Linked DNA regions of Daphnia pulex. The protein of the gene in region 2 purifies or fractionates together with the protein of the main gene of each other region. This does not show direct contact. Links are inferred from orthologs where the notes say so. Each region holds a gene or a part of one and is shown on either strand. Other genes may lie near its edges. The genes, in order: replication factor C subunit 5-like and cell cycle checkpoint control protein RAD9A-like.

Region 1 (4,557 bases), on a different chromosome or scaffold from region 2:
TTGATATTAGATCATAGTCGTCACTGGTCTTGCTTTTGAATTTGTTCAAATAATCCAGCATGTGAAAGACGTTGACGTCACGTCAGATACATCAATTTTAGTAATAACCATAAATGTAAAATTAAATTTGAATTTTGAAAATAGGTGGGAGAGCACATGTCGGGAAGAGTCGCGCTGGGTCCTCTCACTCTTCCACCGGGTGATGTTACCTTGGAAGAAATCAACAACATGCTGCAGCAGCGAAGAGAAGGATTATCGAAGAGACCATTGGACACCAATGCAGCAACACATTTGATTCGGCATGCTTTAGCTTCGACAGAAACAGGATTGGATCCTGATCGTCTCTCAGAGCTCCTTTCGTTGCCAGATGACGTTGTTAGGCTTTTCAGAGATGATATCACCATCATTGTAGCTTACTTCGACACTGACTACCTATTGAAATCTCTTCCCCAAACAAATCAGGAATAGGATTTTGCTTGTGACACAACGTATTGCGTGAGTACTCGTTCTTTATCTCTTATTCATTCATTGTATCGAGACTGTCATATTTTAATCATACCCTAGTCAGCGAGCCCTTACTCCACCTCGGCATCTGATCTGAGGTTGTTTTTGTTTAGAATGTAAATACAACTGATGGAAACACATACTATATGAATAGTTGATGTAATTCAGGAAGTACAACTCCTTACACCAGAAGAATTAGATTAGGATAATTTTAATTTACTGACACTTCTTTAGCAATTAAATATTTAATTGAATCAAAGGCAGCAAGCAAGGATCCGAGTTGTAATTTTTCAGAGCACCCCGCAGACAAACGATATTCAACATCAGCCATCTTCTCCAGTAAAAAGACTCGGACGTTCGGCGGAAATTCGACTAGACCACAAAAACAACCAAAATTAATTTAACAGTTGTAGAGCTTATTGGGGGAAAAAAAAACTTACTTTTGTGAACGTATAAGTGCGTTTCAGTTAAGATATCTTGCAAAGCGAGGCCTTTGAAAGTTTGAAGATCGCGTATTTCTATGATGAAAATAAAAACGAACAGAAACTTTATTTCTAATGACTAGGCGATAAATAACGTCTTGATAAATTTCCAGAACATGATTCTGATTAATATATACAGTCATGCCAGCCTTAGAAGGCAAATTCGTCTACGTAATTTTTTCTTGACGGAAAGGATAGTAGAATGGATACCCCGACCTCTTTCGCCAACTCATTCTTTCCTTAATATTCTTGAATTTTCCTACATTAATATTCAGCCATTTATAGGAACGATGAGAATTCTACTATCCCTGCCGCCAAAAAAACCCTCAATTATGCTGATTGCCAACTAAAAATAAGTTAGTCATGCAACCCCAGATTTAAAAAAAGCTTATAGCAATTCTAGAGCAGAAATCTTACTGCTATAAGCTGAAGTTAAATCTTCGTTTAACATCCACGAAACAACATTTGCAATATCCGATTTAAGAGGATGACCTGGCAGGATTTAATAAGAATTAAAAATGTGTTTCCATGAATCATTAGCATACATCATTTTTTTCATACCGACGCAAGTGTAAACATGATCTTCATTCACTTCATCAAAAGCCATTGAGGTGCTTTGAAGAATATTTATGACACGACGCATGTCGCCATGAGCTAAGCTCAACAAAGCTTGACGCCCATCTTCCGTGACCTTAATTCTAATTTGGAGAAAAGATTTTACAAAGTTTAATAAATGTTTGATTAGAATAGTTTAATTTTCTCCTCTTACTTTTCTTCTTCAATTACGTAATTCATCCGAGGTAAAATTTGATCTGATTTTAATGGGCCGAATCGGAAACGAGTGCAGCGTGACTGGATAGCTGGTATGATCTTACTCATGTAATTACAGATGAGACAAAACCGAACATTTTCAGTAAACTTTTCAATTACTAGAAAAAATGTATCATGAAATGGTAATGATTTATTTAATAACTAGTTGGATCTCTTTAAAATATCACCTCTTCTAAGTGCATTTTGAGCATCATTAGTCATAGCATCAGCTTCATCCAAGATAATAAGTTTGAAGCCTGATTTGAATATTGATCTTGTGCTAGCAAAACTCATGATCTGATTTCTTACAACATTGATGCCTCGGTCATCAGAAGCATTTAGTTCAAGAACCTTCACATAAAATAAAAAGTTTTAGATTGTAGGATGTCTTTGAACTAAGAAAGAATGTAATATAACATGGATATTTTAATTGTGTAACATTATTCACCATGGAATTGAATTGCTGGGGTGTATACAGTTCTTTCGCGCATGCTAATTTTGAATGAATTGATTAGTCAAATCATGAAATAAAATCTAATGTAATATTTATTGAATATTAATACCAAGAATGGTGCTTGTTTTTCCAGTTCCAGGAGGTCCATAAAAAAGTAAATGAGGTAATCGATTTTCATTTATGAACTTGCGAACTGCAAATTTTTATTAGAGAAAATGCAATGCAATGAAACATTTTTGAAAATTAATAGAATTATATAGAGAGTTACTTGTTGAAATGATATCTTGGTGAGAAATCAAGTCATCCAACTGTTTTGGTCGATATTTTTCCACCCACGGCAGATTTCCCGAGGAAGTCATTTCCGAAGAAACTCTAGATACCAGAGGCCTCTTATTATGATTATTTAGGTACTTCCTACAGATATGTTCTATAACTTGTTAGTTTTTAAATTGATTAAACTTATTAAATTAAAAACAAACCGAAATTGTATGGAACTAAATGCACGTCGTCTTCTTAGACAAGTAAAGCGCGCCTAAAGTAACTTGACTTGACACCAATGCCAATTTAATCGATTTACAAAACTAATTCCATTTAAAATAAAATAATAAATCCATACAAATAAAATTATTCACCGTATTTTACAAGACCAAATGAATTGAACAATATTTTATAACTGATAACATTAAATCACACTAAATCTCGATTCAACACCAGTTTAATTTTTCGGACCATAGATGGCTACTACACAATGCAGAAGTACGCGGACTGTAGTGGAAAAAATGGAATAATCAGTGATTCTATTGATACTGACTGACTGTAATGTATTGCAATACATTCGCTTATGATGGCATTAGTTATTGTTGTTATGGCGTCTGCGAAATTGGAACTCTGTGCATTTTCGTTCGTTTAAACCGCTTATACACCGCGATGGATTTCTAAAACATTGGATAGTCATATAACAAAGAAGTACGGTGGGTGAGGAAGCCTTTGGAAACATGATTAGTCGGGAGTCCGAAGAGCTTTGAGTGTTGACGGTTTGCGTCTGAATAATATGCAATTTCGTACGTAAAGTTCTGCAATAACAACCAAAGTACTAGATATAGATACCCTTAAGAATGGATACTGGAATCACAAAGAAAGCTGTTGTTGTGGTCAACAGCTGTAACACCATTCAAACGCTCTTAGATATCAATGCAATGATAGACATTCATGCTAAACATCTAGAAGGGTTGAGAACCCAGTGCTCTACCAGTGCTGAGTTGATTCAACAAGAAATCAGAACCATAGAGGTAAGATGTTTACTATTTAAAAGAATTTTCTGAATTAAATCATTTCAATATTTTAACAGGGTAAACTAGTCAAATTATTCAGCAAACAGCTAGTTGCAAAAGCCAAAATTCCCATAGAGGGATTACCATATGAAGTCAAAAACATTCCGTCAATCAAGCAATGGCTTCAAGTTGTTGGAATATCTCAGCCATCTGTTGAAACCTTGTGTGCCAAATTTCAATCTCTTGAATCTTTGCAAGAACTCAGTGATCATGAAATTAAAAGGATCTTCAATGAGTGTTCTGCAAAAGAAGATGAATACAGGCGCTTGATAAGAGCACTTCAGAGTGTTAAGAGATATACTGGTAAGATATTCATTTATAAAAATGTTTAACTGATCCAACTCTAAGAGCTTTGACATTGCAGAAGTTCTGGTACATAATGAAAAGGAAGGTAATAGTGGCCGAACAACACCTGACTTAGCGCTTTACTGGGATTCCTGGGATAATGCTACAAAAATGTCAATGCCAATGTCCTCTAACATACAGCACAATGACAGTGTTATACAAAATTCATCCCCCATTCAAAGTATAATAACTGCCCATGAAACCATTCCGCAAATGACTTCGGAAAACCGCAGCCCTCCCTCTACTCCATCTTTATTAAAAGGAAGAGGTAAAATACATGGAGTCGGCTATTAACTAGCGTGGTTGAAACTAATGAAATTCCAATTTAGGAGATCGTATGAAATTCCCTGCAACTCCACCACCTCGCAAGAAAAACCAGGTTATTGGTGGTACTGCGCCACTATTGACGGATTTCCCTCTTACGAAATCTACCTCCCACGAATCCCAGCTAGCCAATAGAATCGACGGAAATGATATTATCAGGTAAAAAAAAACTATTCCTTTTATTATTCGAAAATCTGAGCGCATCAACAGTTCTAGCGAAATGTTAGAATTAATGTATATTTTAAGAAATGTCTTGGAATTGTTAAGCGAATGCACATCATCACGAAGGCTGGCGATGACAATTCTC
Region 2 (4,256 bases):
TTGTCCGTTAAATTCATTTAAAACTATCTTAGGATGAAGCGAGAGCAGTTCTGAAGCGGGACCGTGAGCTCATGAAAGGACGACCGGTTTTCATGTCTCCAAGCGAACCGGACGCAGCATTGAAGCATCCAGCTTTCAAGTACCAGTCAACATTAGAAAAGAAAAAACTGTTTATCAAAGGTACGTATTTGCGATCTTTAGGTACGAGCTTAATTTGTTTTTATCCCAAATCTATTTGATGTTATAACAGGCTTAGCTTTCACTACTACTAAAGAAGACTTGGAAGCTCTGTTTAAAAAATTTGGAATTCTGAAGGACGTTCGATTAGTAACGTTACGGAACGGTAGCGTTTAATAATCTAAATTAAATTTATTTTTTCTTTACTAACTTCTATTTAATTAAATATAAAGGAAAGCCCAAAGGTCTGGCTTACGTTGAATTCGAAGATGAAGTTTCAGCGACGATGGCTATGAACCAGACAGACGGAACTACATTCCAGGACAAAGTTTTGACGGTTGCGTTAAGCAATCCACCTCCACGTCGCGAAGACAGAAACCTGGACAAGGATGAACTATCTTTGGGTGGCGGAACACGGGTAAGGAGAACGCAAGTGTCGTTTGTTCCAAACGCCGTCCTTCGCCAGACATCTCAGTCTTCCACCATGCCGCCACCCGTCAGTGTTCCCGCCAGTGCTTCGAAGAGCAATGCCGATTTCCGGTCCATGCTTCTAAAGAAATAATTTGAAAATGACATTGAAATGGCACGAATAAATAAAAAATGGACTGATCAACATTTAATGGCACTTTAACTTTTGTGATCATTATATAGGATACAGTGATGTACCGTTACAAAATTCTGACACAAAACAATACTGAGTTAACTCGGCGAAAGAAAAATGTACAAAATCGTTGGATGAGGGGAAAGCCGGGAAAGGGTTATTTCGTCTCTTGCTATTCATCTTCCTCTGAATCCGGAGCAAAGACTTCAGTTGGTCGCTCTCTGTATTCTTGTGTTAACTTGAGACAATTCTGAAATATGTAGCGAGCCCGAGCTCTCTTATTAGGAGGTGGTTGAATTTCGGGTTCCAAATCTACTTCCATATCAGGAAACGGATGGGGCTCGATAAGAGATAGACTGTTAAGACGTGGGGTATGATCCTCGTTAACAGGCGTTTGTCGTATCAAAGGTGTGTGTAAACGAGTGTGTGTCGTGCTTGCACGAGAACCGTTCCTAGAATCGACCAAATTGGCACGCGAAATGGTCCTGGAATCTAGAAAATTCACGAGGAGAGCAATGTATGTCAAGATCCTGACTTCCCTTTCAAGCCTGTTTTGTTACCTGTTTTATTCCTCAGGGTAGGGACAGGAGACGGATGGTTGGAGGTATTGCCTTGTACTGACATTTCGTGTTTGGCAGTTCGCGAACTAATGGATGCCGTAGTGTCCAGAGCAGGCGTTAGAGTTGCAAGGAGAAAATCTGCTGAATACAAGTCATCCTTTTGTAGACTGAACAAAACAGGCCTGGTAGAAGGAATTCCGTAAATAATCGATGCAACTTTTGAATCACAAGTAAAATGAAATATTGCTTACTGTCCGGCGCCTTCCATTCGACAATCAAGATCGAGTTTCAGGGCTTCTGCGAAGGCCAAAATAGCTCGTAATTCCTTCAAGCAAAATGTAACTTGAGTACACAGAGCGACGTTAAATTCAATGAATTCATCCTTGACCAACGTGACTTCCGTACGAACACATTTGGATGGGTCTATTTCATCATCAATATGGTTACTCAAATGTACTTGATCCATTGCAAGGGACCTTGAAAGAATAAACGAAATTTGAGGTTATTTAAACATGACAATTATGTTGTTGGATTACCAAGTAACTTCTTGAGTGCTTGAATGAAAACTTTGAAGAGTTTCATTGTAAAAACGTGAAGAGCAGGAAAATTTACTGGGGTAACCCTCCTTAGAGAATTCTGCCTATGAATTTTTAGGTTATTTTCATTAAAAGTCTGGCGAGACCAAATCAAAGGACTTACTTCAACACTTTCACATTCAAAGTATCTTAAGTTGAAGTACTTAACAATTCCATGTTTGCACCTGAACTCAATGATTAACAGAGCCTCAAGAAGTGGTAGCATTATCTTACATGTTTCAACTGATTTTTCCAAGCTTCCGATCGACCTAAATACAGACAAGATGGACTGGAAACAAAACATCATTGTAAACACACAATACTTCACATTAAAGTTATTTGTCAGACCTTCATGGGAAGTTTACATTTAATCACAGTATCTTCTTCTGGATCAGCGTGAACAGTATTTTCACTTATGTGCGTGTAGTCAAGAAAAAAAGGTAGGTGAAAATTGAAAGCTGAATAGGCAGATTTGGAAGCATTGACGGTCTTCAGAGTTAATCCATTTTCCATTGGTGAAATGTGCAATTCATCACCTATCTTAGCCAATGAGTGTATGGCTCGCGCCAAAACTAAAGAATAAAAGAAAGTGTTTTAGCTTTCAACTGCTTTAGTACAATCAAATGAAACATCATGTCGTACCCTTAACACTGGTTGCATCCAAAAGACATTTCATTTTTCTTTACTTCAATGTAAATTTAGTTGTTTGCACTAAAAAAAAATTCGAAATGCCGCCAGAAATTATATCGGTAACCCCATGTCCCGGATAACACGTTTAGAATGTTTAGCACGCAGACGACACGGAAATGAATTTTTTCAAGTATGCCCCGATTGGCTGTTGAGATTTTATCTTCACTGAAGATGTAAACAAATGAAACAAGTGACGAGCGTGACTCGTATTATTTCGGCCACATCTGCAAGTCACTGAAACTTGATTGTACTTTTAACCATAGATAAAGAAGACGGTCTTATCTGCTGAGGTACTTCAAGGAAATTTTTTTTCCCCTTGATTTATCAATGGTTTTCAATTATAACATTCTGAAACATTGGAAGACTTTCAATTACATCAGCTTTTCCGCTGTCCAATTCCTGCTGATTACATTCTGAAAAGTCATGGGGCGGAGCTTAAGAACAGCTGTGTAGTGTTAACTAGAGCACAGAGTGTAAACGTTTGTGAATAACTTACTTGTACTGCATGACTTTCTAAGGTAATAACAAATAAAATTTAAACTCTTTCATGATTCAGAATACAAAACATTGAAGTTAATGTTGGTCTGATATTCTGATTACCAATTTACCAATAATTCATTGGATTCTCCATAAACTATTTCACAGATGAGTAAACAAGGTCCTCCTCCAGCTGCCCCTCCTTCTTACATGGAAGCAGTGGGTGGTGTTAATCCATCAAGCCCCTTTACTCCTCATCAAAGTAAAGCATTTTTTTAGTATTTTAACTTTTAATGGGAAATGTGCCTCACATTCAAAATCACAATGTTTATCTCTTTTAATAGATGTAACCAACCAGCAGCCTATTATTGTGACAACCGTGATACCTGTTGGACCCGGAACAACACACACTGTTAGTTTTTCCCTCCACAGTTAATTATATATTTTATTTTCTCTATCTTCTTTCTTTACAGGTCTGTCCACATTGCCATGCTGAAATTGACACTTCTGTGCGTACTGAACCTGGTCTGATTGCCTGGCTTTCTGGAGGTCTTTTAGTTCTATTTGGGTATTACACAGTCAGCAATTTCTTAAGAGTTACACATTGATATAACACATATATTTTTATTACCAGATGTTGGTTGGGCTGTTGCCTTATCCCCTGCTGTATTCCTGAGTGCATGAATGTTCATCATGCTTGTCCAAATTGCAAAGCATACTTGGGGAGATACAGCCACTTTTAAGCTAATGTTCTTACTATGAAGAGGCAATTGGTTCTTTCTGTGTGTTAAATTTCATATTCATTTTTGGCAAATTTGGTTGTTGCATCTTGTATGCCAAAATTTACCTTTTTCCTAATTACACGAAGCTTTTCAATTTCAAAATTTCAAACAATAGAAATGCTGAACGTTGTATTATTCGTACCTTGCTTCAATATCTACTCCGCTTACTTATTAAAATCAAAGATACGCCGTGTTAATTTTATCACCAAAATTTATCAATGAATAAACTTCGAATATATTAAAATTGTCGTTTGTAATTTAAATTTTAAATTCATTGAAAAACGTTTTGTTCGACTGGGACAAAAAACCTATATTCCTTTTCTTAACTGAATTTTTTTAAATTAATTTGAATCTTGCAGTGCCGTAGTTTATTAATTATTTTTATGCTGCTCGT

The links.
Region 1: the proteins of cell cycle checkpoint control protein RAD9A-like (region 2) and replication factor C subunit 5-like purify together in Homo sapiens (affinity purification with mass spectrometry; 3 studies listed by BioGRID and IntAct, with this or other methods). This does not show direct contact. The link is inferred for Daphnia pulex from reciprocal best matches to the Homo sapiens genes RAD9A and RFC5.

What each region holds. Positions count from the first base shown.
Region 1 is NC_060019.1:3,436,288-3,440,844, reverse strand, and holds replication factor C subunit 5-like, read right to left. Parts: upstream 2,955-4,557; 5' UTR 2,730-2,954; intron 2,665-2,729; 5' UTR 2,610-2,664; coding exon 2,519-2,609; intron 2,444-2,518; coding exon 2,360-2,443; intron 2,289-2,359; coding exon 2,245-2,288; intron 2,148-2,244; coding exon 1,985-2,147; intron 1,916-1,984; coding exon 1,756-1,915; intron 1,685-1,755; coding exon 1,548-1,684; intron 1,479-1,547; coding exon 1,404-1,478; intron 1,023-1,403; coding exon 945-1,022; intron 877-944; coding exon 716-876; 3' UTR 648-715; downstream 1-647. Other genes in the region: pyruvate dehydrogenase [acetyl-transferring]-phosphatase 1, mitochondrial-like, read left to right, coding at 145-468; kinase suppressor of Ras 2-like, read left to right, coding at 3,366-3,539, 3,599-3,884, 3,946-4,194, 4,256-4,409. UniProt on the Homo sapiens protein: Subunit of the replication factor C (RFC) complex which acts during elongation of primed DNA templates by DNA polymerases delta and epsilon, and is necessary for ATP-dependent loading of proliferating cell nuclear antigen (PCNA) onto primed DNA.
Region 2 is NC_060026.1:14,699,084-14,703,339, reverse strand, and holds cell cycle checkpoint control protein RAD9A-like, read right to left. Parts: upstream 2,798-4,256; 5' UTR 2,590-2,797; coding exon 2,556-2,589; intron 2,486-2,555; coding exon 2,262-2,485; intron 2,203-2,261; coding exon 2,038-2,202; intron 1,979-2,037; coding exon 1,875-1,978; intron 1,815-1,874; coding exon 1,590-1,814; intron 1,521-1,589; coding exon 1,327-1,520; intron 1,271-1,326; coding exon 951-1,270; 3' UTR 779-950; downstream 1-778. Other genes in the region: squamous cell carcinoma antigen recognized by T-cells 3-like, read left to right, coding at 33-180, 251-343, 411-739; lipopolysaccharide-induced tumor necrosis factor-alpha factor homolog, read left to right, coding at 3,249-3,342, 3,425-3,492, 3,554-3,648, 3,715-3,823. UniProt on the Homo sapiens protein: Component of the 9-1-1 cell-cycle checkpoint response complex that plays a major role in DNA repair. The 9-1-1 complex is recruited to DNA lesion upon damage by the RAD17-replication factor C (RFC) clamp loader complex.